Linked DNA regions of Lepisosteus oculatus. The protein of the gene in region 1 binds, or shares a complex with, the protein of each later gene. Links are inferred from orthologs where the notes say so. Each region holds a gene or a part of one and is shown on either strand. Other genes may lie near its edges. The genes, in order: nup107, nup85, ranbp2 and cetn3.

Region 1 (7,676 bases):
CAGTTCTTCTATCCACAGCCTAGTTCTTATTCCAAATACACACATTTTCTTGAATGCCTGTTACTTATAATTTCAGAATCTATATCAGAACACTTCTGAACATATTTAATATTGGGATGGAATATCTTCAAGGGACATCTGATTGCTGCTTCAGGGGGTGGGGGTCAGTAGGTGGCACACTTTCCTCTAGACCGGTATGGGGACACTACGCAATGCTGTAAGGTACTGTGGACATTAAACTGATGTCTTGACTAGTCATTGAAGAATCCGTGGCAGAGCTTGTCAGAAAAGGAGTGTAAACCCTTCTGTCTTGGCACCCTGAACTTGCACAGACAGCCTCCCTAAAGTTCCCCTGTAACTCAAATGGTGAATCACTTTCTCTCTTCTTCAAATGATCTGTGTGGTGGAACTGCCGTCTGTCAAGTAGGTGGGAGATGCACTTTGGTGCTGGATTTAGGGACCCCTCCTATGTTTGAAATATGCTATACAGTATATGAAAAGGGCTTGTGTGATGACCCATCTTTTCTTAATCTACACTGCTTAATAGCTAGAATCCTATTGCTGTATAGATCACCTAGTTCAGTTTTAGTTTCCATACCCATACATATAACAGAAGTATGACTTATTGGTCTATAATTATTCAGCTCAGTTTAGTCACCTTCTTAGGGATGACAGGATGGGCCTTGTGAGCAATTTTCCAGTCAGTGGGTATTGCCCCTTTCCTCTGTGGCTGTTGGAAGAGTTACCAGCCCGTGAGTCACATCTCTCATTTCAGAAGTACAATTTATCGAATACATTCAGGCCCCAGAGATTTTAAGTACTGCTTACACTCTCTTCTTGTGAATAACATGCAACTTCCTTTGCTCAGCCTGAGGCATGAGGTCAAATTCTTCCTCACTGAATACCTGAGTGAGACATTTGTTTAATTCGATGAGTCATTTCCCTTCAGTGTCTAATTGGTGTCCATTTCACCTTGTGAGGAACTTTCCTTTTTCCTTGACTGTTCTTGTGCTGTTAAAATACAGTGAATGACCGTTTTAATTTATGAACCTCCTCTTGGTTATATTTGTATTGAGATGTGATTCGAAAGGAATCCGATCGCATGACTTGTGTGAGCTCAGACGTGTCTGAAACTCGGTTCCAATGGGGATCTGCTCTTCCCGTGCTGAGCAAGCGCTCCTCGACGACTCAGCGGGTGGCTTTCTTTAGTGTCTCCGGGTGTTGTAGCGCCCCCAACTGGCAGTTCTGTCATTCAGCCTTTGGGAGGAGCCAGTCGCCTGTTTTCAATGCTAGCTTTATCGTCCCATTTGGGAAAAATATCGAAGATATTAATTATACATGAAGCCTACTTCAACCCCTCGCCAAATATTCCGACTCTAGTCCTGAAAGTTGTGTATTGGTATGGAAACACGTTCCTTTCAATTTATATCATTTGGAACATTTCCAGTGAGTAGAGTATTTCCACCAAGAATTACTTTATAAAGCACGAATTCCCTAATACATAATGTTTTAGATTGATTTAATTTATGCTGAAATGAAATTAAAGTTTATTTATATGTAAAAATAACAGCCGTGAAATGTAGTTCGATGCTATTGCAGTCAATTACACCATCTGGATTTACACCGAATGATTTACGTAAATAGGTGTCTTACTTTTTTCCTCATTATTTTCTCGATGGGGGGGTCTATTTTTAGTTCTATTCAATTATTTTAATCACAAACCACCCCTCTGTTGATTGGTATCTTATTCTGCACCTACAGAATTACTTTTCTTAACGCTCTTTAATCTTTCTTTGCATCTCGAAATGCGTAAGGTAAACAAAATTGGACTGCAAAAATGCAAAACGCACTCAGCACTTTTCCCCTCTTTGATTTGTCTAGTAATCCCTTTACCGAAGGCTGCTACGATAAAAATATGTGAAACACAGCCGAAAATCAAATACACCCAGCACTGCTGTGGCGTGTGGCTAGGATGTTTGGTAATAAGGGACTGCGAACTATGCATATGTCCATTTCTGCTTTACTCGATACTTCGTGTAGCTTATTCCTAGGTATTACCCTTCCCGATCTCATTCCTCTGGCAATGCTGGAGTCGCCAAATGAATCTAATTGAAAAAAATCTTAATCAGTCTGAATCCTCTTAAGAACACGGAGCTGACAAATCAATTCATTAAACAGTCTGCAACTGTGTGCTGGAGCCTGCATAGCTGGCAGACAGCAGATGTGTCTCTTCAGACGATATGGAGATCCTGTTGCTGTGTATCGGTCCCAAAGACGAGCTGAGCTGGGTTGGGTGTTACTCCTCCTCTAAACAGAGAGCAAAAAGGCCGCTAAAGCATGTCTGGACACTTCTTGCGCAATGTGACATCCTGAAATAGGTTTTGCTCGTAGGAGTCGTGTTCTATTTTGAGTTGGAAGAATAAAGGGTTGCGTCTGGGTTATTTTGTTTTGTTTTTAAGCTAGGACAATAGCCTTGTTCAGTAAAGTGCCCACAAAGAGTGACATACTGTATTAACCTTTTCTACTAAACAGTGGTACACGCTTATAAACATTCTTACATTCATGCAGCCATTCAGTGTATCGTTTACCATCGCGTTCACCATCACATTTCAAGATAAACTTATGCAAGTTTACAGAATAAATATTTTGTGGAGGAAAAGTTGAAAAGCAGCATTTCAGTGTAGCCTAAATATTTATTTTCTGAAGAAATGTTCTCAAAACTGCCATTACAGAAGTTTAAAAAGATTCCCTCTCCCCCCTCCCCCCATCCATTATTAGCCAAATGGAAATGTCAAAATGGATTGGTACCTTCCTAAAGGGGGAATGACAAGTGCACAACAAGACAATTTTGGACATGTTAGTGTTAACTGTAGTGTTAATGCGTGCGCAGCTATAGGCTTAGGAGCTGCGAAGGAACGAGTCCGTGCTGAAAAGGTAAAAAAAAAAGCACAGAACTCACGAAGCGTCACAGGAAGACTCCACACCTGGAACATTGTGTTTTTCTTCTCTATTTTCACTTTACAGAGCTTTAATGAATCCTGTTTGTATTTGTGTGTGTGTGTTATTTATTAGATTGTCTTCGTTAGCCTCTACATGCAACGTTGTGCCTGCCTAGTTGTAGAGCTGGCTTCGTCTACAGAAGTTTCACATTACTTCTTTCTACCCACCCTTTTCATACAATGACTAAACCCCATGTGTGTGTCAGAGGACAACATGACAGCGTGGTGCATGGGCTTCATGCAGTTTGCCAGCGCAAATGTGTTTCTTAGAAATAACTCTGCATACCGTTCGTGCCTATTGTGACAATAGGAACACTTGAATCTCATGCTTTTCAGCACTGAAGTAAACAGAAAACTACACCTTCGGATGAGACATAAAACCAATGTCCTGACTCTCTGTGGTCATTAAAAATCCCAGGGCGTTCCTCGAAAAGACTAGGGGTGTACCCCGGCATCCTGGCCACATTTCCCATTGGCCCTTACCAATCATGGCCTCCTAATAACATCTATGAATTGGCTTCATCACTCTGCTCTCCTCCCCACTGATAGCTGATGTGTGGTGAGCGTTCTGGCACACTATGGCTGCCGTCATATCATCCAGGTGGATGCTGCACATTGGTGGTGGTGGAGGGGAGTCCCCATTACCTGTAAAGCTCTTTGAGTGGAGTGTCCTGAAAAGTGCTATATAAGTGTAAGCAATTATTATTATTATTATTATTATTATTATTATTATTATTATTATTATTATTATTATTATTATTTATTACACATTAAAGCACTGTGGCCAAAAGACAGCACTTCAGGGGCAATCGTGTAACTTGTGTGCGTGCTGACTTGCCACGAGCAATGATTTGAAGGCTACAGCTGTCCTGAAAGGGGTCTAGCAAATTGTAACAGAAGGCCGCTGTGAATCTCTACAGTAGGACCCAATGTCTACTGTATTCTGAATCAGACACCCACCTCTGTCCTTAAACCAAGAACAGGATTTTCTTCTTTCTCCCAGCGCTTCTGGATCTTTTTTAACATTTGTTGATCACCGAATAGTAACCTAATTATAAGACGAAGTAATTTAGATTTTGACCATGAAGTCTGGATGTAGTCTACATGCCGTACAAATTGTAAAAAGCTTCCTGGGACATTCCCTAAGTCGGTTATTGCTTGATATGAAAGGTGCAGAATACGGTTTCTTGAATTTATCACCATTTGGTGCGAACCCTCGAAAAGAAGTTAAACAATTTGAGCTGGAAAAAAATAATAAACCGTATTTGTATTGTGAATTATTTTTTATTCATATGTTTTAAACAGTTCATCACTATCGGGGAAAGAGTCCTACTGGTCCAAAAAACTCATTACACTTTCTCATTAAATACTTTTATTAGTTAATTAATCTTAAAACTTATCACTAAAGACTTAAATAATTTAATTTTGGGATAAGGTTTCTGGGTCTTTATTATTACTGTCACTATTACTCATTTTGTAAGTATAATGTAAGAAATTACTTTTTTTCACTGAGCCCCTCAACGACACTAGAGGAGCGAAAATGGATGGGTAGTAGTTCGTGTTTCAACTACTAGGTGGCGCTCTGATGTCTGCAGGCCTAGCGGACTCCTCGGTGTACCCTCTTTACCACAACTGACGAGGCATCCTACACGCTCTCCGATTTCACCGATCGGCCAGCCCGCCGGTAAAATATTCAGACAGCAGCTTTTTTCGAGATATTCCGTGTTGTTGTGACCATAGAGGACGAAAAGTAAAGGTGGTTCTATAAATCCATGCTTTCTTAAGTTCAGAAGGAAGACCTGGTCTTGAGGGTAAACCGTTCTTGAGTTAGAAATCGACTACTTCTGGACTCGACAGAAGCCCCCTGGCCGAGCGGGAAGAAGGAGTGGGAAGTCGCTCTGTCCACTACTGACTATTCCGATATAAATGCTGCAGCGATGGAGTGGTAAGATGTTGCATATTCTCTTCTTCCCGACCTAGTTGTGGCACGTTTTTAATGGTTATTATACCCGTGTTCTGCACTGTACCGTAGCAGTGTGGAGACATGTGGCATGCCAGTTTTGGAGGGTAGGCCGCGGGGTACAACACTAGTGAAACACATCTCACCTGTTACAGTGAGCTGTGGGACGGGTACCCGACGTTGATTTGTGAACATTTGTGATGTACATGGGTGGAAATGGATTCGATACTCGACCCTCCAGGCGCCCGTAATATAAACACATTGAACTGAACGGTTATTTTTTCATTTTGAGATCGATATATTGGACTCTTTATTTAAGGATGTAGGCAGAGTTAATTCAAAGAATGAACATTATATAAGGTATTTAGCAATTCCACTATATAATGCGTTTAACGGCACATCAGCTTTGTACTTTGCTGTTGGAAAGTAGCATACCGAGAACGCCTGGACAAAATATGTCTAGGGAGCTCAGGGTTACTACTGTCAATGTACAGTATGTGGGGTTATGGAAACGACAGTTGAAAGCAGAGGATCCTCCATATGGCAGAAAAAGGTTAGGGAATAGTCGGCATGGATTGGAAAAGGGTAGTTCTCGCTTAACAAACACACTTGCTAGAGTTCTCCAAACACGCAAGAGCACCAGCGGCAGATTAACGCGATAAAGTTAATTCTAAAAGGTTAATTCTAACATTGTAGGTGATAAGTATTCAAATAAATGTTTGTTTTATTATTAGGAGTTGAAATTTAAAGGGTAGTGAATAAAAACATGGGTAAGGGATGAATGCTCTAGCTGGGGTGATGTTATTAGTGGTGTGCCATAGGGACATGGGACCTGTGCTCTACCAGATTTCTATCAGTGATCTAGATTCTGGCGTGGAGAACAATCGAGTTCATATGATGCTACCAGTTTATGAGGATGAACAAACACTATGAAAGCAGCCAAGTAAATTCAAGATTTAGAATTCCAGACTGGGCAAACACCTCACCTGCCAGATGACATTTAATCTAGACAGAGCGTTACGTGCAGATTGTAGAAACTAGCACGAAGTACAAAATGGGAAACACAAATTTAGAAATAATTGGGTGCTTATGGTAGCATCTTTTTATTTCTTTATAATGTGTGAAAACAATACAAAAATCAAATAGGTTATATAGTTAAATAAGACAAATAAGAGCTCATTTTAGAACAGCACTCAGTTTTTGTTCAGAAAATAGCTATATTCTGGGAGTACAGTCCTGGTATTAATGTCCTCTTCTGACATGCTAAACAAACAAAATCTTTTTAGTCTTGAACAGAAAAGATTACGACGGGACCTGATTGAGATATTCCGAATCCCCAGAGGTACAGCCACAGTCAGCCTTGTGGGCCTCTTCAGAATAAGTCCTGAAATGAATCAATGGGCACAACGTAAGGGGAGAACAGGAGACACTTCTGTACGCCGAGGGTTGTGGGAGCCTGGAACATACTGCAAAGCTGATCCCTGCTGTGGCTTCTGCCCAGACAGCAGGATGATCCTCTGATCAGTTAGTTACTAGCTACCAGATGGGCTGGATGGGCTCAATGACCTTCCCTTGTTGGCCGGCTTAAGGTCCTTACGTCATTTATCACACCCTTCCCTTGTCCCCAGCGAAGACCCTCCTCCTCGAGCTGCGGTGTCAGCAGAAAACTAGCAATAACCTGCTCTTAATGGCGGGAGATGCAGTTCTGTTCGTGTCTACAGTTACCCACAGCAAGATAAAACACCATAGCTCTTTTTCTTTAAAAAGACACCTGTCACCATGCGGTTGGAAATGGACATGTTGCCTAAGGGGATCTGCCGCCAGGGGTCAGGAAGAGCACTCAGTCCTGGTTATGCAATATTTCATGTCCGTTTTTAAAGACGCCTTTGTGTTTTTGTTTTTGGTTTTTATGGGGGGGCTGACATTTCTGTCTGTCTCAGGGGCAGCAATGACCTGATGTCGCCGGTGGTCCGGGAGTTGGAGGTGACGCGCGCGGCCCGCCGGAGGAGCCTGAAGAAGAAGGTGGCCTGTATCCTTTCCCTGTGTCCCCCGGCCCCCTGTCCCGCAGCTGGCGGGAAACGCGTGGCGTGGGCCCGGGGAGACAGCCAATAAACACCCTGATGCTGCCTTTTCCTGCTGGACCCTAGAGTGGAGGATACAGGCAGAGTCAGCAGTGTGCTGTCTCCAGCTTGTTTTGTGACGTTCTGCGTGAGAATAAAAAAAGCAATAGATAGCTGTGTGAATCCAAGATAGTCCATGGTCTGCATGATGGGAGAACTTGTTAGTGAGCGGAAAACAGGGTCACGAAGGGAGAGGAAGCATAGTTCGGACCCGTGTGTTCATTCTGCACAAGCGTCCTGCGTCGACTTGTCAGATTTGTTTGTCTGGGACGCCAAAATAGGAGCGGCAGGGAATGATGTCAAATCAGTAAGGGGGTACCAAAGGACTTAGACCAGGGGTGCCCAACCTCTTTTAATGTAAGATCTACTTTTTCGTTTGCCAGTCCAGTGCGATCTACCGGTGTGAATTTGAAGCTCTGATATAGGAAAAACAGACTGTGGGCACATCAGTACAATAACGATACCCATCGCTAAAATGACAGCCAACAAAAGCAAGTCACTCACGCTACAGTGAACAAGTAATGTTCCCCATTTTTTGGGGAAAAAAAATCTCCAAACTTAATGAGAGCATTGGCGCTGAGAAGCTTTCTTGAGAAC
Region 2 (7,685 bases), on another chromosome or scaffold:
CAGGGCAAGGTGAGCCTACACAACCATTTTCATCTGGCTGAAGGTCAGTGTGTACAGTGGCTTTCCAGAAGCCAAGATTAACCTTTCATCTCACCTTCCCCCTTCGATCAAATGAAAAATTATTTTTAGAACCTCTCCATCCATTTACAGATTTAATCTTTTCACACCTCTCCCCCAAGTCTCTCTTTGTTTGGACACTTTTTCTCCCCTTTCTTTGTCTCATCTTTCTTACTACGTTTCAACATGGAATTAACCTTTATTTGTTCCACTACATTCACGCTGCTGGGAGACTGAGCATACAGGAACTACTGTTAAAACCGCAAGCTTCCCATCTTGACCAGATGCAATTAATAAACCCTTTGTAAAAAAATCACCATCCAAATTAATAAATGTAATTAATTGTAATCACTAGGAAAGATGGGAATGTCATACAATACTTTACAGAAACTGGAAGGGGCCAGGTTTACCTTCACAGAAACACTATCAACCTTTACCCAAAAACTAATGTTCACGAGCTCATGTTCATGAATACAGTCTGTAAAGTTGGATGCATAAAACACAAACCTGGGGCAGCATCGATGAACAAGACTTCACATAGATTCCAGATGAGCTCCACTGCCAACAGAATTGACACCTGTATGGATATGCACAGATCTTTAGTTTGTCTGGAGAACGTCAAGGGGTAAAAAGACCACTCTGTCCATCTTTAGTTACTTTCAGCCTTATGAGTTTTACAGTTTCCTAATTGAAAGCTTTTGAGTTTCCACAAAACGTCTCTTGACGTGATTTTTTTACCTCCTCCCCAGCAACTCTGCTGAAGCCCAAGGGAAGATGAGAATTGCAGCAGTGTCAGAAGCTATGCTTTTCCACAGTTTGCATGCAATCAATTCAGTTACATCAATGCGTATGAAGCAAGAAGCTTCAAAAAGAGCTTTCCCAACCTGATTGCCATACTGTGTTGCTAGAGCCGCGTCACGTGCAGAAACTGCAGGGAACAGAAAAATCACAACAAATTAATGGCAGTGCTAAGAAACCGAAAAAGGATAGTTTTTAAAAAATCACCCTGCAGATACTGCTGTCACAGCCATGAGACATGTTCTGCATGACAGGAGTGAAACTCTTGGTACCTGCATTCTGTTGGAGCTCCTCCATACAGGCCCGGATCACTGATCGGTAGTTCTTACTAATGCTGACAAACCTGCAAATACAGGAGGACAGTTCAAGCATCCTGCATCGTGTCTGGGTTTGCTGTGAATTGTGCAGAGAAGTCGTTTAATCTCATTTTTAATTCTCATTCTCAGAGAAGTCACTCTTACAACCCCTTGAGTTTTGGGATGTGTTATAAATGTTACATGTTGTTATGCGTTATACTGTACATGTGCAACAGAGTGATGTGCAATGTTTTTCTTATTTTTATGTAATAGAATAATGTGCAATGTTTTTCTTTTCTTTTGTTTGCATTCTATTTAAATGTACAGGAGTGCTAGGTGTCCATAAAAAAATTCACACAGGGGACAATAAAAATCTTATCTTATTTGACCACAGCATTTAAAAAAAAAAAAAACTTGAAATGGTACATTACTCGTCACAATGACCAGATTCATCCTGCATGGATTTTACCCCACATGGATGAGAAACGTTACTACGACAAAAGAACAGAGCCCCCACCCACACCCCCGTCAGATACTCAAAATCAGTAAGCCATCTTTCTACGGATCTCCATGGTGACGGAGGCCGTGTACCGAGGCTTCTTGGCCTTGCTGGCGGTGTCGTCTGTGCTCTTCTGCAGCTGGACGAAGATGTGGTGGGACTCGTTGAAGAGCTTGCGCAGGATGGGAGAGTAGATGTCTTCATCCTTCCTGACCATGTGGATCCACGGGCAGCTCGCAAACGCAGCCGGGGCTCCTGACGGGGCGATCAAGGAAGAACAAGTCTCCGTTTGAGCTGTAGCAAAAAAAGAATCACCCAGAAACAGGCACCGTGTAACGGCAGGGAAGCCTCACCTGCTGTCTTGTACTGAGTTTCATAGGTCAGTATGTCCCTGGGACCCCACACAAAGCCCAAGTGCTTCTGCCTGAAGTCAACACCTGGGATGAGCTGCAAAATAAAATAATAATAATAATAATAATAATAATAATAATAATATACTTTAAATCGAAACCAGGAGTCAGACAGGACACTAAACGCGTCTCTGTGCTACCTTTTATTTTCTCTAATCAAGTGGTCTTGTTCAGGACTGAGCTGTGCATTACGTTTTTTTTTTATAATTAAGTTAAATGAATCCTTTTGTCAAATCAGAAAGGGGTCCTGAACAACATGTTCTCGTTCGCAGTGAGCACCGGCACCGGCAGTGAGCTGCCTGACTGAGAGAAGACGACAGCGGCGAAACGTCCGGGATTTGAACTCACGACCCTCCTCCTGCCCGGCAGACCAAAAAAAAAAAACCCTTAACATTTACTCCTAGCTGCAAGAAAAGCGATCCCCTGAAACCATCTCCGAACAATAAAAAGAGGTCGTGAAATGCTGTGCAATAATGTTTCATGAAGTTCTGAATGACCAAATATCCTAATTTCACCGGGATCGCGTCAAAGCGCTGGCACAACTGGAAACGTGACAAATTCAGCCTCAAATTCAAACAGAGGCGAAGACCACTCGTAGTCTTTATTACAGCCGCCTCTTCTTCATTTCAGGAGCTAGCAAACACCCGCTTTCTTTAGGCAAATGTGCGACTACAAAACTGAACAGACATCCCTCTACAGTGTTTCTATACGGTTCCCCCCCCGAGTTACAAATTATAAACCAGAGAGAGAACATACTGTTGTGGTCGGCTCGACATCCACCTCCTCCATTTCCTACCGAAAATGAAAAAAAAAAATAAACCTTTGCAAAGATGTTTCCTTCCGCAATAAGTGAATCAAAAAAAAATTCGCATGTGTAAGAAACTAAGCGCATTGAGATTTTTGTAAAAAAAACGAGACAGGACCCCATGTGCCCGGGCTTGAGCCGGACTGTCTACTCAGATGCCTGCGTAAAATATTGTGAAAGCAAAAGTGTTGAACGCAGCTGATGGTTGTTCCTGGGTTTCATATCTTTTAAAACCGCGTTTAGGCATTTGAGTTTTTGTGTGATTTATTCACCACGAAATACGGCAGTATTTTAGACGTGGACATATTTGTTTCAAATACATACTTTTTAAAAAATATATATTTTTGTGATCATCTGTGCTGGAGGGAACCTGCTTCTCAAACGAAAGGAACTGGTCTCTCTTTTCACATGTGAACTGGAACAGAAACATAGTGGGGGGGTATTTTTAAACTGGAGATTGATTTTTTTTTAAATATAAATGATCATTTTAATGTTTGATGAAAATACAAATGGACGCATTCAATTAACTACTGGGTTTACGTTCGAAGACTACTGATTGTGGTTCTAATGCTGATGTTTAAAAGGTCAAAGGATATGGTCGCTTACTTCTTAAATAATTATTTATTTGGATGTCCATGTGGCACAAAGCACACTTTTTCATATAATTTTGGGTCTAGCTGGTAATAAACCTGCCCCTTCGAGAGGGGAGAAAGAGAAAGGCTTTAAAACTACTTATTCAAAGATGTCATACAATGACATAATACCTTTAACAATTCATGTTTATTTAGAAAAACGACCAACCACAAATCCTTCTCAATAAACACACCAGATACAGCATCAAACATTTAGAACTACATGAAACAGAAATTCTGTTGTTATTACTACTGTTGACACACTGTATAGTGTGGCTATAATAATCAGTGTTCAACGTTTAAGTGTCAAAGAGCATGGAGGAACCACTATAAATTATGTGATATATGCATATAAGCTTCAAAAGAGTTTTGCAAGTTTGCTTTTCTTACTTTAAGAATCTAAATGTAAGGGTAAGTGGTGTAGTTATAAGATATAGGTAATTACTATTGTATGATGAAGATAGGGCCTGCCCCTGTGGTGAACCATGAGCAACTGGGGGTCAATTTCCCAGTGTCCCAGTAAATCTTGCATTTCATATGCCTGAAATGTTGGAAAGCACAACCCAGGGTAATGTTTATTTTAAATGGCAAATTCATGAAATTATGTCATGGAATTGGAATTTTGGCATTTACAAAATAATTACTTTGTCCCGCGAAGAGTAAAGCTAATTATTAACACCTTCTTGGAAAATGTCTCTCTTTTAACTGAAAAAAAGGGTTTGACTGTGTCTTTGTACTGTGGATAATTTGTAACTGGTGAAAAACAACCCACCACACAGGAAAACAAGATGGCTTCCACAGCCTGCTCCATCAGAATTTTCCAGAAATTGTCCTTTGGTCACCTACATTCCCAGAATACACTATAATTATGAATGTTGTTTTAAATGTCTATCCCAGAAGCCAGGGCATGAGAAAAATGTTACTTTTCGGTCGAGTGGGATTCCTTTATGCTTCTCTCTATCCGTGTAAAACAAAACAAATTAAAAAAGATGAACATAATTTTTTCGCCATGCGCGTGCACGAGCGGCGGCGCGGCGGCCAATAACGTGGATGACGTCACTCCCGCCTAGGCGAGCACGGGGAGCCGGCCCTCGTGACCGCCTCCGTCCAGTGAGCAGCGGGCGCCGCGGACGAGCAATGTCTCGTGCCCGCGCACGCCATGCCGGTTTAATGAGTCGGCGGCGAGGACGTGCGCGCTCCCGACTTACTCTTTGTGTGGCGGCGTAGAGAGACGCGGAGAGGAAAGCCATGGCGGACGAAAAACCCAAGGTGAGCAAAAGAAAAAGCTGATTACGAAATGCCCGCGTCTTCCTCATACGCGTTATTTCCTAAGTGAGATCGATTCATCGGTATCTCCGCTGACTTGTGAGCCAAGCGATCGGCGAAATCTACCGCTGGTCTAGCACCGGAAGGGATGTGAGCGAGCCTGCAGAGGCGGGCAATCAGAAAAGATCTTAACTTTTTTTTTCTTCTTTTTAGTAGTCGTTTTCTAAAATCGAGGAGTGCCCCGCTTCTGCGGCACGCCGCGGAGGGCGGCCGGGGGCCCGTCCTGGGGGCGAGGGGGCCCGGTCTGCTCTCCTTGTTTTGGGCCCAGTGTGGACCTCGCGTGTGTCGGGCTGCGCGCTCATTGGGAGTTGATGTCTTCCAAAACACCCCGGCGGCCCGGGCTGCCCGCTGATGCCCCCTCTCTCCCCCGGACCACCGCCGCCGGTGGTGTCAGGCTCGTCTTTTTCCCCTCCCCGTTCGCTTCGGGAGAGGCCGGGTTGGGATGTCTGGCGTCGGGAGAGACGGGGTGGGTTGGGGGGACGGGGGACGCACCTTCCACTTTCCACCCGAAGTTTTGAGCCGCTTCTAAGGAAGGGCGACCTCCTCCACAACACACGGGTCGGAAGCCGGCAGTGGTAAAAAAAAAATAAAATAAAGAAGACCCTTACGGATACATCATCTGTCCCACCTCCGCTCTCTACCTGAGCAGATGATGGTGCTCACCAGATGCCCAAAGTGTAGCTCTTCCGTGCGCAGTTGGTCTCGCTGTCTGTGGGGGGGTGGGGTGGGAAGTGTAGTTGTCAGACCTTTCCCACGAGCGTGGAGATATTTTCATGGACACGAGCATGCCGACCGGTGACACAAAGGTGTGTGTTTTTTTTTAACCTGGACAACTGAAGTCATTCGTTAATGTTTACAGTACTTTTCTCAGACGCACAAAATCGCATGAGTAAGATAGTGGTTTCAAATAATAAGTAGACATTGTAGACTTATAATAAGTTGTGAACAGGAGTAAGTATTCTAATTCATAACATTTATGTGCTAACTGCAAAACATGTGGTTTTTCAGTCTCTAATCCAAGAAATATGTGGATTTTATACTTTTATACTGTGCACTTTTACGTACCCTCTGTAGAGTTAAAACCGCTAAATGTAAGCTTATTGTTGTTTAAGCGCTGGGAAAAAAAAGTTTTGTGGGTTTCCGTGTTGTGGAAGATAAGCTGTGGGGACAGTTTGCTTCACAGCCTTACCTTTAAAGTGACTGCTGTCTTATTCCATGGGACTCGGGGTTTTTGCTGGCGACAGTGCCACGCAGTGGAAGGAGAGGAGTAAGCACAGGAGCACCGATAGGAATCTGGGGGGGAACTGCGAAATGTTCCTGTAGAATTAAAGCAAGCCGTGCGTGGCTTAAAGCTTCTTACAGGCCTTGCAACCATCGTTTGGCCTTTTCTGAACAACATCTAGTTTATGCTCGCTGAGCCAGACTTACCGATTCCTTAATCCCTTCTTCTTAGTTCAAGCTCCCAACTCTCAGGGGTGGTTTTAGCTGAGGACACCTTGCACCGAAAGGTTTAGGTTTTGTGGTTGGCCTTCCGTGTCAATCACCTGTGCAGTGTATGTGTAGGTCTTAAACTTTTTTTTTACAAAGAAGACATGGGTGATGTGACGCGAATACACAACCCATTTATTTTCATTTTGTGTGAGCGTTTCTGTAGTGGCTTGAACGAGATGTATTCTGCAGTCCCTCTTGTTAAAGAATATCTATCCCTGAGAACGAAATATGTGGTACATGCTAAGGTGGGGATTTGATATAGAAGCATTTCTAGTTGGCAGGAGTTTTTCATTGATCTAGAAGCAGTATAAACAACCTGGAGAAGATTCATCACAGTGTTCTTCATTAATGCATTCTTACCAGACTCCCTCAACGGGAATCCAGTCTCAGATTCCAGATGAAGAATGTGAAGAAGGAAGACTCTTGAAGAAGTCTTATCCTGATTTTATGTTTTTCACTAAAAAAACCCAAGTTGAGCTGCAGCATCTCCTTTTTTTCCCTCTGTTGGTAGATCTGTAGACTTGAGTAATTTGCCCTGTTTGCTGCTTGAGTATATGGAGAATGCCAACCAGGGAAGAAGAAGGATAATAATGTGAAGACTCACCAGGCAGAGGCTTCCCACAGAATGAGCAGGTTCTTATTGTGTCTTGTGGCTTCTGTCCTTTAGGAAGGAGTGAAAACGGAAAACAACGACCACATTAACCTGAAGGTGGCGGGGCAGGATGGGTCCGTGGTGCAGTTTAAGATCAAGAGACACACGCCACTCAGCAAACTCATGAAAGCTTACTGCGAGAGACAGGTATGGCTGGGGAGCAGCGTGTAGGGGTGGGGACATGCACAGCCTTGGGTTGGAGGTAGGCACTCAGCTTTTAATGCCATTACTGCACATCAGACATTGGTCCCTGACATCCTTGGGGTTTCAGTTTCCCCAGGGGCTTAAAATGCTTCAGAGCTTAATAGAATATTTTGTAAATGGTATGTATTCCTTCATTTTCAAATGCAACGGTAACATTATTATGAGTGACAAGTTACATACATGTGGGAAACATTTAGGGATTTTTATTCTTCTTTGAATGTTTTTTTATGTAAGATGCCTAAGGCACTAGAAGCTGTTCAGATAGACGGCTAAGTGTTACTGGTGTTTAATGTAAAACACCCCCTGCTTCTTAGTTCTAGGTGTGCAGGTTTACTCTGCGGAATGATGCTTTTAATCCAAACTCCTCAGAGGCTTGTCAGGCTGGTTTAGGATTATTTCCCTAGCAGCATTGCTCTATTAAGTAAAATGCGTTTATTTTGGGATGGCTTGGTGTGAATAATGTTGTTTAAATGGGCAACTACAGGGTAGCCTGATATCTGGTGATGCAAAATAAC
Region 3 (7,392 bases), on another chromosome or scaffold:
TGCCCATTTCAGTACCCACTTGAAGACATACTTTGGAGATGTAACTTTTGATAAATACAACCATTTGTCAACCGTTGCATTTTCTACAACTAGCACTCTGTCACCAGGAGCTGATTAAGTTGTTTCTGGACTTGTCAAGTGACAGATTGGTGAAAGTCCGATGTCCTTAGAACCAATTAAGCGATTTCTGACTGTCAGCCACTGTAGAGCAACCTGCGTGATTAGAAGCTGGATTTAAAATCTTAAGACTTTTTACAGTGACTTACTTGTGCAGAACATTCTCTGCTCTGGTTTCATTATGAGCAAATACCAGCCTAACTGGAACTTGATCTGTGGCTTGAATGGCTCCCTTTGCACGAATCAAATTCTAAGAACTGCCAGCTTACATATGTAGCTAAGCCATGAGCAGCCTCCTTCCCAGCAGAGCTCCGCCTGTGTTCACTAACCTTCAGGTTGTAGACTGCAGGGCTCCCAGGGAAGAACTTGGCTGCCTTCTCCACCCAGTACTCCGCTCTGCCATCAGGCTCATCCTTACTGCACAGCAGCTGTGCCACCTTGAGGACCAAGTCTTTCTGCGCAGGATTTAGGTCCACAGACCGCTGCATTGAACAAAACATAAAATACGTGGCCACTGAACTCCAGAACTGCACACATCTCCAACACAAGTCTCTGCCGGCCCCGATGCAAGTCACGCTACTGCAGCTTCTGAAACGTTCAGTGCGTTGCACTACTTACACCTTCAACATTAACATAATCAGACTGTTCATACATCCATTTCAGGGTTGCCCAGTTGATAAATCTGGAAAGCGAACGTCCTCAGCAAACTCCGACAGCCATACAAGGGCTTTTACTAAGTGGTATGTCTGTCGGGCTGACCTCCTTACAACAGTGATCTGTGCATTTTAACCTGTTGGACACAACGACCAAAGTCTTGCAGACAGTTGCATAAAGCAATTTAACCTAACCTTCCATACCTTTTCCCTTAAATATCTGAATGTAATAAGTATGCAGAACAAACCGGCTTAACCCAATGAAGTCCATAAAATAAATAAATGAAACACTGATATTGATCAATGCTTAAGGTATTTTTATGGACCCAGTGACTGGACTTGCAGTAGGGCTGACATCACACTACAACATATCCTGGGTTAAAACGGTCCCTTTCATTCTTCATTCATTTTGCCTGGAAAGCAAAATGGGGGGGGGGGGGAGATTTCTTGATAAAAGCGCAGTTCAGACCTTGTAGCATCCCACCGCCTTCTCGATGTCCCCTTCTTCTTCATAGAGCTGTCCCAAAAACTTGTGTGCTTTAGGATCCCTCTCCTGCACAGTTAAGTAGGCTGAGACATGTCTAAGAAAATAAATAAATACAATTTTAAATACAAATCTTCTTCCTCAGCCAGGCGCAATGGCAGAACCTGAAGGTTTCTGCTTACCTTTTCGCGAGTTCATATTCCTTCACATCGAAGTACAGCTTAGCAAACAGAAATCCCTTTACAGGCTTCTGAAAGAAGAAAAAACAGAACCAGTGAGCCAGCTGACAAAGGACTGTCTGCAGCGAATGCTTATTAAAGGCAACAGGGACTGAAAATCGAATCACATTTATAAATCATCAACTTGCAAGCAGACTGTAAGATTACAATGTTGTCACTTAAAAGCATCACTGAATTATACAAATATACAAACAGTACTGGATACTTAAACTGAAATTTAGATCAGCACTCTTTAAAAGTTTTAACAAAGCAATCTATAAAGTACAGAGCTTTACAAGCTCTAAGGAAAAAAGTCAAGACATACATTACTGGACAAAATGTTCCAGGTGGCACAAAGAACAATTTCTTACTTCACACCAGGAATAGGTGTGTCGCAAACCATGATAAAAATGGTGGGAGGAAAGATCTATAAACGTTTGATTTTCCCCTGAGGCAAAAATCGTGATTATATCTCAATCAAAAGCAGAACAGCCTGTTCCCTTTTTCTAATGTGGTTTCACATTTGTTTTACAAAATGTCACAATTAGAATCAAATATTATATTACCAAACACACTTCTAATCGAAATGGTGAGGTCGAGTACTGTACTTAAACCTTTTGAATGTTATTTTCATCCAGTCTTATTTCAGCTGGTTGCTACTTCCATTCTAAGAAGTCAAACCAAATTGTTTTCTAAGTTATAAGACATACAGATTGTTTTCTTTCAAAAAGTTGATTACCCAAAATATTCACGTATGAAACACTCTGGAAATTGGTTAGAATTCTAGAAGCATCACAGTTATTTAGTTTTCATTTGAAAGTAGTTGTAACAGTGCACCAAACCAAACGACGAGGCCCTCCAAAAATTAAGTTTAAGATCTTGTGTAAAGTACATGTCAACTATAAAAATAGTACCACAAACATAAGCAACGATTACGAAACACCTGAAACTGTAGTTAACAAGCAGCTCATGATCTGCAGAGGAAGCAGGACCGGCGATTCTAAGGCGCTCCGCTCCCACTTTCAAAACATTCGGGCCCGCCGCGCTTTCCTAGGCAAAGGGGGGCTCGACCAGGAACTACGCGTGGCTCCCAAAAGCATGTTTTCAGTGCCCAACACCGAGTTCAAACTTCGTATGTGTCCAGCGTCCACAACACAGAGCACCCCTCGATCCCGTGCCCGACAAATTGATTACTGAGCCCGCCGAGGCCTGCTCTGTTCTCCGCGGCACTCCGGCGGCGACTCCATGCCGGCTTCCACTCACCTCCTTTAGGGACGGAGAGGAACTCTGCACCGAGGACACGTAGCGATCCACGTCGGCCTTGCTGCGCCGCATGTTGTGTTACGAATAAATAAAACGTGCATACACCCAAGAGATTTAATCGCTGAAAAATACGAAAAAGTAACCAGCCCGGTTTCTTCTTAGTTCAAACTCCCCTACGAGTGCGGCTACTGTACCACTCGTAGACAGTAAATGGCTGAAGGAGCCCTCTACACGCCCGCCCAGCTCTGGCGTCAGTCGCTGACAGGAGGAGACGTACTTCCTGAGGGCCTAGCGATTACTTTTTAAAATTAAGTGGAGGGAGGTGGCGTAGACTAGAAAGATATTATGGCGTAGCGCTGTGGGGACACTGTGATGTCACTGGCTTTCATTATTATCGGTGTTATCAAAGTAAACGCAGTCTTTCCATTTATTGAAAGGGCGGGGCAAAGATTGGTTTTATTTTCGTTTTCAAAGCTATTCGGATTTTTTTCCCCTCACAAATTCAGCGCTATCGCTAATATTTTCCCTCTAGGAGCTTTCAAACGCTTATCTGCTTTATTTTGTTATTGCTTTAGGTGTTGAATCCATTTTTTGCATGTTTCTGAAGTTTATACGACTTTTTGAGTGGTGGATGTGCGACTACTTCGTTCATTGAACTCCTGTGTTTAGTTCAACTTCCTACTTATAAATGTCTCTTAAAATACAAAAGTATCTGAAAGAGTCGCAGTACATACTGTCATTATAACGACCACATCTATTTATTTCTAGATAACTGCACGACAGAATGCGCGATCATCTGCATGTGATAAATTATCCATATAATACATTAGTAATGCAAACCCTTTATAAACAACTATATTAATAAAAAGCAGACGGACAGTGCCTGGGAGATTTAGTACAGTAGTATTGGAATAATATTTTCCTAGACCAAGCGTTATGAATTTTAGCAGCCATTTCCCTCCACTCGATTTAAAATATATAATATTTTTAAGGGTAACATTTCAGGGCACAGTGACCAACATTTAGTTCAACAAACTTGAATGCCACCTTTGTAAAAGAAAATTACAACATTTATTGTGTTTAAACCAAAAAACAGCACAGTAACTCTTATGACCTCTGTGCTTAAATTTCAAGTGGTGCAATTCTGAATAAAATTCTTAAGAACTATTTCTAGAAAATGCAGTTGTGTGTAGAATATCAGAATCGCATCGTTACAATCAACTTTCTCATTGTTTCCTGCAATCTGGAAGCAGATTTTTTTTCTCCTTTTCTAGTGTTGGTTCTCAGATTGTTCTTCTTAAGGCAATCTGTACTGAAATCACTAACCCAAAACAATACAAAGTAAAATAAACATTTAATCAACTTTTGGACTCTGAGTTCTTTCATGTCGATTGGGAAATCGATCGACCACAATGTGGCAGTGTTTCTAATTTTAAAGTTGGAGGTGCTGTATGACAGTGTGTCACAGTACATGGTTTTAAGAGATAAATGACACAGTGCTGGAGGAAAGTAGAATTATTCAAGAATCCCAAGAATTGGTACACCACAGTTTAACCATGTGCAGCAAACTATGCACATGTAGTCAGGAATCCACACTTTATGCTTCTAAAATCAAATCATTGTGATGTACCTTAGAAAATACATTTCAGATTGAATTAAAAACTGAGGAGTTTTCAGAGGATTCTGTTGTCAATAATTGTGGAAACTAAGGAAAATAGGTATGTTAATCCAATAAGTCATAATAAATGAATAATTGTTGTATGAAAATGAAAGAAATGGCTTAATGTAGTATTGACCTGCTATAAGATCACCGTAGTAACTCATCAGAAAGTACAACACTGTCTCTTGGCCTATGTACTGTATAGGCAGTCTTACCACTGCAGAGTTTTAAACATAGTGAACACTCGAATTACTCTAGAGGAAGAAATCTCACATAGATATCAACAGCAGTAGCCATCGATTTAAAAATGTTTGATCTCTATGCTCCTGCTCTTTAAGATTTTCTTCCTAGACGCCACAGTGTTTTGTTCTGGAGCTGTGGTGCTATTGGGGAGTAGAAATGGGCTATATGGGGCAAAGTGACACATTTTTTCCACCTAATTCAGTTTCTCCCTAAGTTCTTCAAAGGAAATGTCAACTTAAGATATTTCTCAAATATAAATTATTTTGAAGCCTCTACAAAAAAGAGCTGTGAATTAGTGCTTAAATCATTCTTCCTGCTGGCAATAGAAGTGAATAAGCCCAAGACATTTTAACAAACCTTTCTATATACACATCTATCCATGATCCATCCATGGATGGATATCCATACTCATGATCCATCCATTTTCAGTGGATATTCTACTTACGGGAACCTATCCCAGCAAGCACCAGGTGCAAGGCAGGGTACACTCTGGGCAGGACTCCAGTCCATTGCTGGGCACACACAGACACAAACACACGTTCACACCAGAGCCACTTTTCCCAGAAGGCAATAAACCTACCAATATATGTTTGGACTGTTGGGGGAAAGCAGAGCATCTGGAGGAAATCCATGTGAACAATTAGAGAATTCCACAGAGATAGCACCCCAGATGCAGAACTGAACTCAGAGCCCCAGTGCCATGAGGCAGCAATGCTAAACACTGCACCACTCTCTATAGATACATTTAATTTTAAGGACCATTTATCTCTGTAGTCTATGCCCATTCACTTATTAATCATTTAGTTTTCAACCCTACCTCTCATTTTCAGAGATGATTACAAATTGCAACTGTGTAGTAATAATTAGTAGGACACTTATTCTTCACAACTTTTCCTCCAGTATGGAAATGTTATTCAAACATTCTACACTGAGAAATGAAAAGAGCCGAATCTCTTTGGTTTTGTCCTGTCTATACGTTTAATGTAGTGACACTCACTTCATATCCTGTAAAGCTACAAATCTGGAGGTTTTCTTGGTGACTTAATTTAAGGGCTACAGACTCGTAAAGAGTGTGAATTTGGAGCAAACTGAGATAGCAAATGAACTGTCATGTTGAATCAAGTGGAATGCAGATGAGAAAACTGGCTGGTCCAGAACAAACCACACCCGTTTGCTCTGCTGAGGACAAATATTGTTACTAAGACTTCTACTACTTATAGGGTCAATTAATTACTAGATTAGCGAGACTGAGGAATATCATGTTTCTGCTGTCAGTAGTGGTGATGAGCCAGTAGGTGGAGCTCTTTCTCTGGATCAGCTCAAAACCAGTGTCCCATTTTGGTGATAGGCAGCACTTCTGTAGATGATGACATCCTTCAGATAACATAAACTTGAGGACCTGACTACTTGGTTTCCAAGAAAATAAGTGTGAACTCCAGTTAGGTCTTATATAATCTGACCTCCCTAAATCCTTCCCTTGATTTAGCTGTTGACGGTATTTCATACTCCTCCCCAGATCTGCTGTGCGGAGGGGCTACACATCTGCAGCGGACGAAGTAGACCCCTGGGGAGAGACCACCTGACGAAGTCCCCCAGAATCGAGAAGATCTCAGGTTTTCACTAGTTATGCCTTTTGCCTCTGATTTATCCCTCCAATCGAAACACATTGGGAGTATAGATTCCAATGGAAATTACGATTTCAGCAAACTAAAAAAAGAACAATCACATTATACTGTTACAGTGCAGTAATGCACATAACACATTAGGGAATTATGAACATGGATCAGAGGCTACAGGCATTTAACCCTTCAAGTAAATGATATACAATTTTTATTTCTCAACTTTACACAAGTGTTCTTTTTTATTGAAACTCAATATTGCACATTTTATAAAGTTCATTAAATGCTGAATGGATGTAAATGGCATTCAATCCCTTGGGGCTATGTCAGGAGATTGAGTCGTAGTGAATGTGTAGATTTCAGAGTCAGGTTGTCTTCAGCTCGAGAGTCCGATTATCCAGGCAGTTGCCATTCATTGAATCTTACAGATCCCTCCATGTGTTCCTTAAAGAGCAGGAGTGAATGGAATGAATGGTGCTAACCCAAATGGGCCTAATGGAAAAACAAATAATTCCATCTGCATGGAAAAAGGCAGTAGCATCTGACTGCAACTTGGACATCTCCAGTGCATCACCCAGCACAATCTGAGGCAGACGTGTTACACCAAATGTCCAAACACATGCGGCTCATACTAGAACACCACAATCTGCAATGACTTCACTGTACAAGAGATTGAGAATATACATTTTATTTAATACTGGAGCTGGCTGCTTGAATAATACAGATAAAGATAAAGTACAATATTTATTGGAGTGATCAGTGATGGTTACAAGCAGAATTTCAAGACTGGCACAGAAGCTCTTCTAAACAAAAGTGTGGCATCACAAACTGTGAGAACATGCAACATGTTGAATGACAGTCCAAGACATTGCGACTCAGATTCTTGACCTTCAAAAAGTAATTCATACAGTACACATTTGAATTTCATGTCTCAATTATTTGCACCCATTTTTAGTGTCAAATTTTATCATGGAATGTGTACCATGAATTCATGTTTACTGTGAGGTTTTAATAAAAGAAAAGCAGCGTTTAAGAAGCCTTATTCATCTTTCTGACGTTCATGAAATCTCTTTAGCACGTTCAGGATTAACTGCTGGTAACTCATCTGAATACGAGATGTTAAAATGTTCTTTTG
Region 4 (7,135 bases), on another chromosome or scaffold:
TTAAGTTCTAAAGCAGTTCTACTTATTGTAAATGAATCCTACAGAACACCTACCTGGATATAGAGAAACACTCATAGGGCTACTGACATTGTAAATATGTTCACATTTTCAAAAACAGATCTATTTCAAGCATGACTGCTCCCTACCACCACTTCAAAAAAAATGCACCTCAAGTCATCACTGAGCTTAAATATCTGGCCTCTACATAAAACAAACAAAATCAGTCTCCTGCTGTGGGAAGCTCTGGTCAAGTTGATACAAAAAGATCCTATGTTCTTACAATGATGAGCAAGTAAACCGATCCCGTTTCTAAGAAAAAATATCAAGGTTCAGTGTAAGTCGAAGCTAAAATTATTTTAAGTTTAGAAGAGCTCAAAGCATTTCATTATAAATCTTCAATTGTTTTCAAAATGTTCTTTTTTAAAAAACAAATCTATCCTTCTGACTAGCATTAGTGTTAATATTTACAAAATACAGCCTATTACTACACTGCTTGGAAACAGGTGTGATAATTTAAAATCTTCTACCAAAGATCTGACTTACTTTCCCCATCCCCGTCTTTGTCAAATTCATCAATCATGGCCCGCAACTCCTCATCGGTCATATTCTCCCCAAGTTCTCTGGCCACACGGCGCAGGTTTCTGAGACTGATCTTCCCAGAATCGTCATCGTCAAAAAGCTTGAAGGCCTTCAGAATCTCTTCCTGGGGATCTCGATCCAGCATCCAGTCTGTTACTGAAAATAGTACAAATCTCCACATGTAATAACAAAACAGGTCCAGTATAGGTGTGGACATGTAATACTGGAAACCTACCCAGCCGTTCTCGCTTATACATTTACATTTTAACCCAGAACGTGACAGCATTTTTTTGTCTAAAGCCTTATTCTCTGACTCGCCCAAAACAACTCCCTGGCTTCAAATTTGCATCAGCCAGAAAGGTCTAAGTTGTGGTTCAATCTGAAACTTTGTTCATTTCACAACAGCTCTGTGTTCAACATTCACTTTTATTTTGTAAAAGAAAATTAAAGGATGTATTTAGTGTGTTTAAAGAATTAGAACTTTGTTTTTACAGCCACAATATTAAAGCAAAAAAACATATGGTATTTTAGAGACAGGTTTCTTACCCACTTCATTAAAATCTTCAAATGAAATCTTCCCAGTTCCTTCGCGGTCATAATCTTTGAGTATTTTTAAAACATCTGCTTTCTTCACATCAAAGCCTAAAGCTCTCATTGCAACCTTTAAAAAACAATGGGTGCTGCATTAGTGAGATTACCCTATAGTTGAGGATATCTTAATGATCTAGGGATTAATGCCAGAGGTGCACACCCTTTGCCTGTGTACCATAGATCCATTTAAGCTTCACTCAATTAAAAACAAAGGGGCGTCTAACTAGATATTCCCTTCTTTTTATCCAAAAGCTTTGTTTTTCTGAATGAGGATTAAAATCTATAGGAGCCCTTCAGTACAATTCACTTTTCAATTCAAGTTCTACCTCCATCCAAACATCTAGAAAGAAAAACATTTTCATACTTGTTACCCATGCACAACTGAACTCTGGGAACTTAAAAAAAACTGCATTAGGACAACTCCAAATATATTTCTAGTTTCTCTAGGATGATCATAATGCAAATTCCAGTCTACATCAGAATTTCATTCCAAAGTTGAAGAAACCCCACAACAATTTACAGTTATCATTTCCCTTTAACCAAAGCGAAGCCCCCAACAGTGCAGAAGACCGTTTCCATAAAGCCATGCCCATTTCCCTGTGAACATCTCTCATGGCTCCATACATACCTTCAATTCATGATAATCGATTTCTTTGTCTTTGTCAGTATCAAAGAGATCAAACGCCTCTTTTATTTCTTGTTTCTGCTCCTCTGTCAGCTCTCTCCTCTTCTTTTTTCTGTTTTTGTCAGCTGCAATCTCTGTCCTGAAAGGTGGAATTTGCAAAAAATCGCAGACATCTGGTGAGCCATGTGTTGGAGCTGCAGGAATCTTTAAATCCTGATTGAATTCACCCCATAATTGGGCTCAGAATTCCTTTGCCTGGAAAATCTTATCCATTTTAACGCATCATCGTGATTAGGGATAACAGATAGAAATTTCTCCTTTTCAGATGCAGATGGTTGTATGTGTAATGGCTTTTGTGTTGTTGTGTATAGACTGAAAAACGTTCAGAGTGTTCTATAAAATTAGCCCAGAGGCATAATTCTTATATTACATGTTGTTATACTACGAAACGAGATTCAATCCACCTAAAGACTTGACACCCATTTAAAAATGACAGATGGATGATAGATGATGGCTGTTATCTTTGTTGTTTTCTGTTAAAATGACAGTATACAACTAGGTAAACATATCTTTTGTCAAGTGAAATATAAAAGTAACTGATCGTCAATGTTAATATAGTTTTGTTTATAGTCTTTCAATGCCGAGCCATTCTCATATTTATACAAAAATAAAAAATAATCCATTTGTCGAACAGATTTGCCTGCTTGGGTAACATTAAATATTATACCAAATACAACAATGCACATTATCGTCATCTTTTTTTCCGCCTCATTACATATGGGTGGGTGAGATAATGGATAAATGATAATTTTTTCTCTGTCTTTGTTGACAACATAAAGGCGACCACAAAGTTTTATAAACACTACCGTAACTCCCTGGCAAGAGCCATGAAAATCAGTTTTGCTTTATCTCTACAATCCCTCACCCAAAACGTTTTAAATAACCGAAGACTGCAAAAACTATTCTGTTAATTAAAAACACATCTGACATTTATCTCCTCGAAGCCTTTAAGACATTTCCACTACCCAGCTAAATAAAGGAAGACACACTCAAACACTGAAAAGCTGAAAGGTTAACGTTTACATACCTCAACGACAAACTCATTGTTTATTTTTAAATGTCTCTAAAAGCCGAAATACACTTAAAAAAAAACAGATAACTCTCAACCAACTGTAATCTCTACCGCCAGATGTCGATTTCAATACAATACAAAGACCCAAACAAATCCTTCAACGGTCGCCCACAAACTGATTTGTTATTGGACGGAACTGTTGTGGGGGCGTGTCAAGGAAGACAACTAATATCATGATTGGTCCTTTACTTGTCAATCAAGACGCTTTGCTTGTCTGGTTTGGTTGTAAAGCAACGGTTTTACCCAGGAGCCTTTGGGAGGGACTGAAGTTTGAGTGACTGGAGTAGATGTTTGCTGGCAGTATTTTCTTAAACGTGCTGATTGATTAGTCGAGATTAGCGTCTCAACACGGTGTTTTTATATAAGAAATCTAGCAAGATACTCATAAAATGACACTTGAAATAAATTATGGAAATTAACGTTGTCATTTTTTTGCAATACGTTAGACTAATGAGTAAAACTGCTACAACATTATCACAAGATAATTAAGGTTAATCATGATCTTAATCATGAATTCAAGTTAAAAATTTTTTCTTTATCGTTGCTTTGCAACTTTTGCAAATACATCCACGCACTGCACAAGCAACACACTGCACTGATCATCCTGTATTGCAGTTTTCCCAGGCAGAAATCACCTGATATCTTCTCTGGCAATCATTTGATTTGCTGAGGCTCTCTCAGTTCACTTGTGGCTCTTGAGGTGACTGCAGCCCCCCATACAGAAGCTCAAAATGTTTCCCAGCCGGAGAGAAGCACTCCCTTTAGTAGTTCAAGTAGGGAGCTGCGTCAGCAGGCGCAGGCTGCAAAGGAACAGGTAAAGGTTTATTCCCTGCTGAAAAGAAACGCAACGTCTCGGCTTTCTTCAGGCATGTCTTCTTCCTATCCCCACAAAGCAAAGCCACCAGCCAGCAGCCATATCACCCTGCAACTCACAACTGGCAACCCACTGAAGCTAAGCAGGTGTGAGTTGCAGGGTGATATGGCTGATGGCTTTGCTTTGTGGTGACTCGTTCAATGACAAAGTTAAGTATGGCCAACATCGAAGCTAACCTGGATGGGAGACCTCCTGGGAAAAACTAAGGTTGCTGCTGGAAGAGGTGTTAGTGGGGCCAGCAGGGGGCGCTCACCCTGCGGTCCATGTGGGTCCTAATGCCCCAGTATAGTGATGGGGACACTATACTGTAAACAGGTGCCGTCCTTCGGATGAGACGTAAAACCGAGGTCCTGACATTAAAAATCCCAGGGCATTTCTCGAAAAGAGTAGGGGTGTTACCCCGGTGTCCTGGCCAAATTTCCCATTGGCCCTTACCAATCACGGCCTCCTAATAATCCCCATCTCTGAACTGGCTACATTACTCTGCTCTCCTCCTCACTGATAGCCGGTGTGTGGGGAGCATTCTGGCACACTATGGCTGCCGTAATGTAATGTAATGTTTCTTTATTAGCCCTATACAATTTCTTGCATTAGGAATTCGTCTTTTCGCATACCCCAGCTTTTCTCCAGGGAGACACAGACACAGAGACAGGGAGAGAAGCTTGGGGTCAGAGCGCAGGGTCTGCCATTGTATGGCGCCCCTGGAGCAGTTGGGGTTAAGGGCCTTGCTCAGGGGCCCAACGGAGTAGGATTCCTCTGCCAGCCACTGGATTTGAACCGGCAACCTTCCGGTCACAGGCGCAGATCCTTAGCCACAGAGCCACTGCTCCGCCCTAAGAGGCTGTTTCTGCCCGGTCTCGAACCGGGGACCTTTCGCGTGTTAGGCGAACGTGTGACCACTACACTACGGAAACCCAGGTGGATGCTGCACATTGGTGGTGGTGGAGGGGAGTCCAGTGGTGGTGGAGTGTCCAGAAAAGCGCTATATAAGTTTAAACAATTACTATTATTTCTTAAATTTACATTTCTGATGTACTATAGTTTGTGTAGTGACTTCATGAAGAAGGCAGTTTCTTGCTTCATTCGTTTTAATGTCCCTGTTCTGTGCTTTGGCAATTTCTCCCAAAGCCCTGGCACTACTGACTGAGGAGTCTGCAGAGACACTTCCCAGTCGCTGTAATTGACACGAAGTGATATCCGTTAAATATAACATCAGCGGCTCTCCTGCTGCGGCTTGAAGGCTGGCCTTGACAGACACTACCCTGGCCGCAAAGTGCTTCGCCGGGACAGTGCTTAACTGGGTGGGACAGATCGGAGGAAAATCGGGTTGCTCCTGGAAGTGGTGGTGGTTTGCCAGTAAGGAGCCACTCCTCCCTGAACCAAACAAGAAATTACTGCTCAAGAAGGTTGCACTGTGTTATGCTCCTAGTATGCTACTGTTATTTCATACCCCATTGCCATACTGACAAAAGAGGGTTTGACGTGCCTGGTGTCCTGGCTATATTTCACATCATTTTTTGTTTCTAGATTTCTCCTGTGTAGCTAAACTGGATCTGTCAGCAGACTGTCGCTTCTTCAGCTCGTCTGCCTTGCAACAGGTGCAAAACGAGCTGCCACCCATCAACACCAGGGGGCGCTACACTTCAATGTTTGCCCTCGGCTGCCCGCACGGCTCTCTGGGACTCCTCAACATTACAAGCGCTGTGCAAATCCAAGGTACTTCAACTAGGTACGTACAGTAGGCTTCAAAGGAACAAGCTGTATCAGAAAGAATGAAAGCATACCATTCCTGTTGCTTCTGGTAATTCCTGCTTCTCTGTCACTCTGAATATGAATGAATGCAGTTAACCTTGGTCCCTTTTCTACCCAATGCCCACAATATAATGGGATTATACTTTGGTAGCCACATAAAAAATAACAATGGAGGAACATTTTTCTTATCATCTTTTATTACAGTGGAATAAAAAGCAGTTCATTTCACAAGTTCAAAACATGGGAAATTTCACTCATATCATATGGTATAACCAAGAATCTCCCTATTCCAGAACACGTTTTAGGTTACTGGCTTTCTTTTAATTCACATTTCCCCAAACACATCACACAATTTACAATTCAAGGCCTAATATAATTAACATATTCATATTGTCTCTTCTTGCAATTGAAATGGAAGCACAATGCTTGTTCAGCAGATTATTTTCACAATCAATATTTCATTTAATGTGCAATTTCTATTGGACATAAAACACAATTCTTGTAAAGTTCACATTATCAGATTTCGGAGCATGTTCCATTGCAACATAGTGTTTAAAATACTTTGTCAACATTCAACTCTCTACCACACATTAGCTTCACTGAACTTTCTGCCATGGAAGAGTATGTGTTTTTTTGTATTGAGATTAATAAGTTATTACCTGAATTGAATGTTGGGGAGGTGACAAAGTGTGAACAAAACAAACCTTTATAGACTGCCAATCCTACGATTCAATTGGTTTTATTTTACTTGAATTGGAAATGATGGTCAGTAGTTAGGTAGTGTAGTTGGTAGGTTTTTGCTTTACATGTAGTGTAGGTAACACTTATACGTAAAGCAAAAAAAGAGATATTTCCAGAAGCTATGGCACATGAAATAGGTGATGATGTAATGCCAGCATTATTGTGGTACAAAGAACACAGCCCCGAAATATGTCTACCATTTCCTGATGCCATTTCCTTAAACAATGATCCTCTAACCAGACATTATAGTTGAGAACAGATTCTCATCTACGGGGATGACCTGGCCAAGAGTTTATTCCAATCAGCAAGGACAATCAATCGATAGAAAAATTACAAAAAGGAAAGAAGAGATGAGAACTGGCTAACAAGAGCAAGTGTGAAGACTGAGCAGCCAGTCGCATAGTCCAGGTCTGGAGTACGTGTCTGCATTTTCAGAACTGCCATATTTAGTGCCAAACCAAGTGTCTACTTGTTAAAGCTGGACTGCGAGTGAAGGAAAGGCTGAAACAAAGCCCAACCCAACCCAGGGGCAGAAAATGTCTTGGGTGTTGGGTTTCCTCGTCTCTCTGATGTCTGATAGGTTGTGGCAACACCTGACCACAGGAACCCATCAACGCTTGTACAAATTCCAAGCTTTCCGTGTTTTGTAAGGTTAAGTAATGGAAAATGTTAAATGCAGAGAGAAGGGAACATGGCCAAATGCCACTGAAGCTCAAGTGTGGTAGGAAAACCTCCGATTAAAGATGTAGGAGAAAGCAAAGCCGCTACTTGTCTTTGCAACTATTTGAGTTGCATTGAACTTTCGACCAGTAAAATGCCAATTCAGTATCAAGCCACAATC

Evidence for each region.
Region 2: nup107 (region 1) and nup85 share a complex: the UniProt entries of both Homo sapiens proteins name them as parts of the nuclear pore complex. The link is inferred for Lepisosteus oculatus from reciprocal best matches to the Homo sapiens genes NUP107 and NUP85.
Region 3: nup107 (region 1) and ranbp2 share a complex: the UniProt entries of both Homo sapiens proteins name them as parts of the nuclear pore complex. The link is inferred for Lepisosteus oculatus from reciprocal best matches to the Homo sapiens genes NUP107 and RANBP2.
Region 4: nup107 (region 1) and cetn3 share a complex: the UniProt entries of both Homo sapiens proteins name them as parts of the nuclear pore complex. The link is inferred for Lepisosteus oculatus from reciprocal best matches to the Homo sapiens genes NUP107 and CETN3.

What each region holds. Positions count from the first base shown.
Region 1 is NC_090702.1:23,597,623-23,605,298, reverse strand, and holds the start of nup107 (nuclear pore complex protein Nup107), read left to right. Parts: upstream 1-4,656; 5' UTR 4,657-4,936; coding exon 4,937-4,944; intron 4,945-6,899; coding exon 6,900-6,988; intron 6,989-7,676. UniProt on the Homo sapiens protein: Plays a role in the nuclear pore complex (NPC) assembly and/or maintenance. Required for the assembly of peripheral proteins into the NPC. May anchor NUP62 to the NPC. Involved in nephrogenesis.
Region 2 is NC_090704.1:44,419,959-44,427,643, forward strand, and holds the start of nup85 (nuclear pore complex protein Nup85), read right to left. Parts: upstream 3,003-7,685; 5' UTR 2,989-3,002; coding exon 2,881-2,988; exon of another isoform or gene 2,850-2,880; coding exon of another isoform or gene 2,817-2,849; intron 2,098-2,816; coding exon 2,004-2,097; intron 1,906-2,003; coding exon 1,743-1,905; intron 1,199-1,742; coding exon 1,128-1,198; intron 986-1,127; coding exon 942-985; intron 635-941; coding exon 565-634; intron 1-564. Other genes in the region: small ubiquitin-related modifier 2, read left to right, coding at 4,746-4,766, 6,982-7,113. UniProt on the Homo sapiens protein: Essential component of the nuclear pore complex (NPC) that seems to be required for NPC assembly and maintenance. As part of the NPC Nup107-160 subcomplex plays a role in RNA export and in tethering NUP96/Nup98 and NUP153 to the nucleus.
Region 3 is NC_090708.1:24,300,353-24,307,744, forward strand, and holds the start of ranbp2 (E3 SUMO-protein ligase RanBP2), read right to left. Parts: upstream 3,020-7,392; 5' UTR 2,808-3,019; coding exon 2,736-2,807; intron 1,505-2,735; coding exon 1,437-1,504; intron 1,352-1,436; coding exon 1,240-1,351; intron 600-1,239; coding exon 447-599; intron 1-446. UniProt on the Homo sapiens protein: E3 SUMO-protein ligase which facilitates SUMO1 and SUMO2 conjugation by UBE2I. Involved in transport factor (Ran-GTP, karyopherin)-mediated protein import via the F-G repeat-containing domain which acts as a docking site for substrates.
Region 4 is NC_090698.1:72,656,559-72,663,693, forward strand, and holds the start of cetn3 (centrin-3), read right to left. Parts: upstream 3,018-7,135; 5' UTR 2,900-3,017; coding exon 2,883-2,899; intron 1,935-2,882; coding exon 1,799-1,934; intron 1,241-1,798; coding exon 1,126-1,240; intron 736-1,125; coding exon 544-735; intron 1-543. UniProt on the Homo sapiens protein: Plays a fundamental role in microtubule-organizing center structure and function. As a component of the TREX-2 complex, involved in the export of mRNAs to the cytoplasm through the nuclear pores.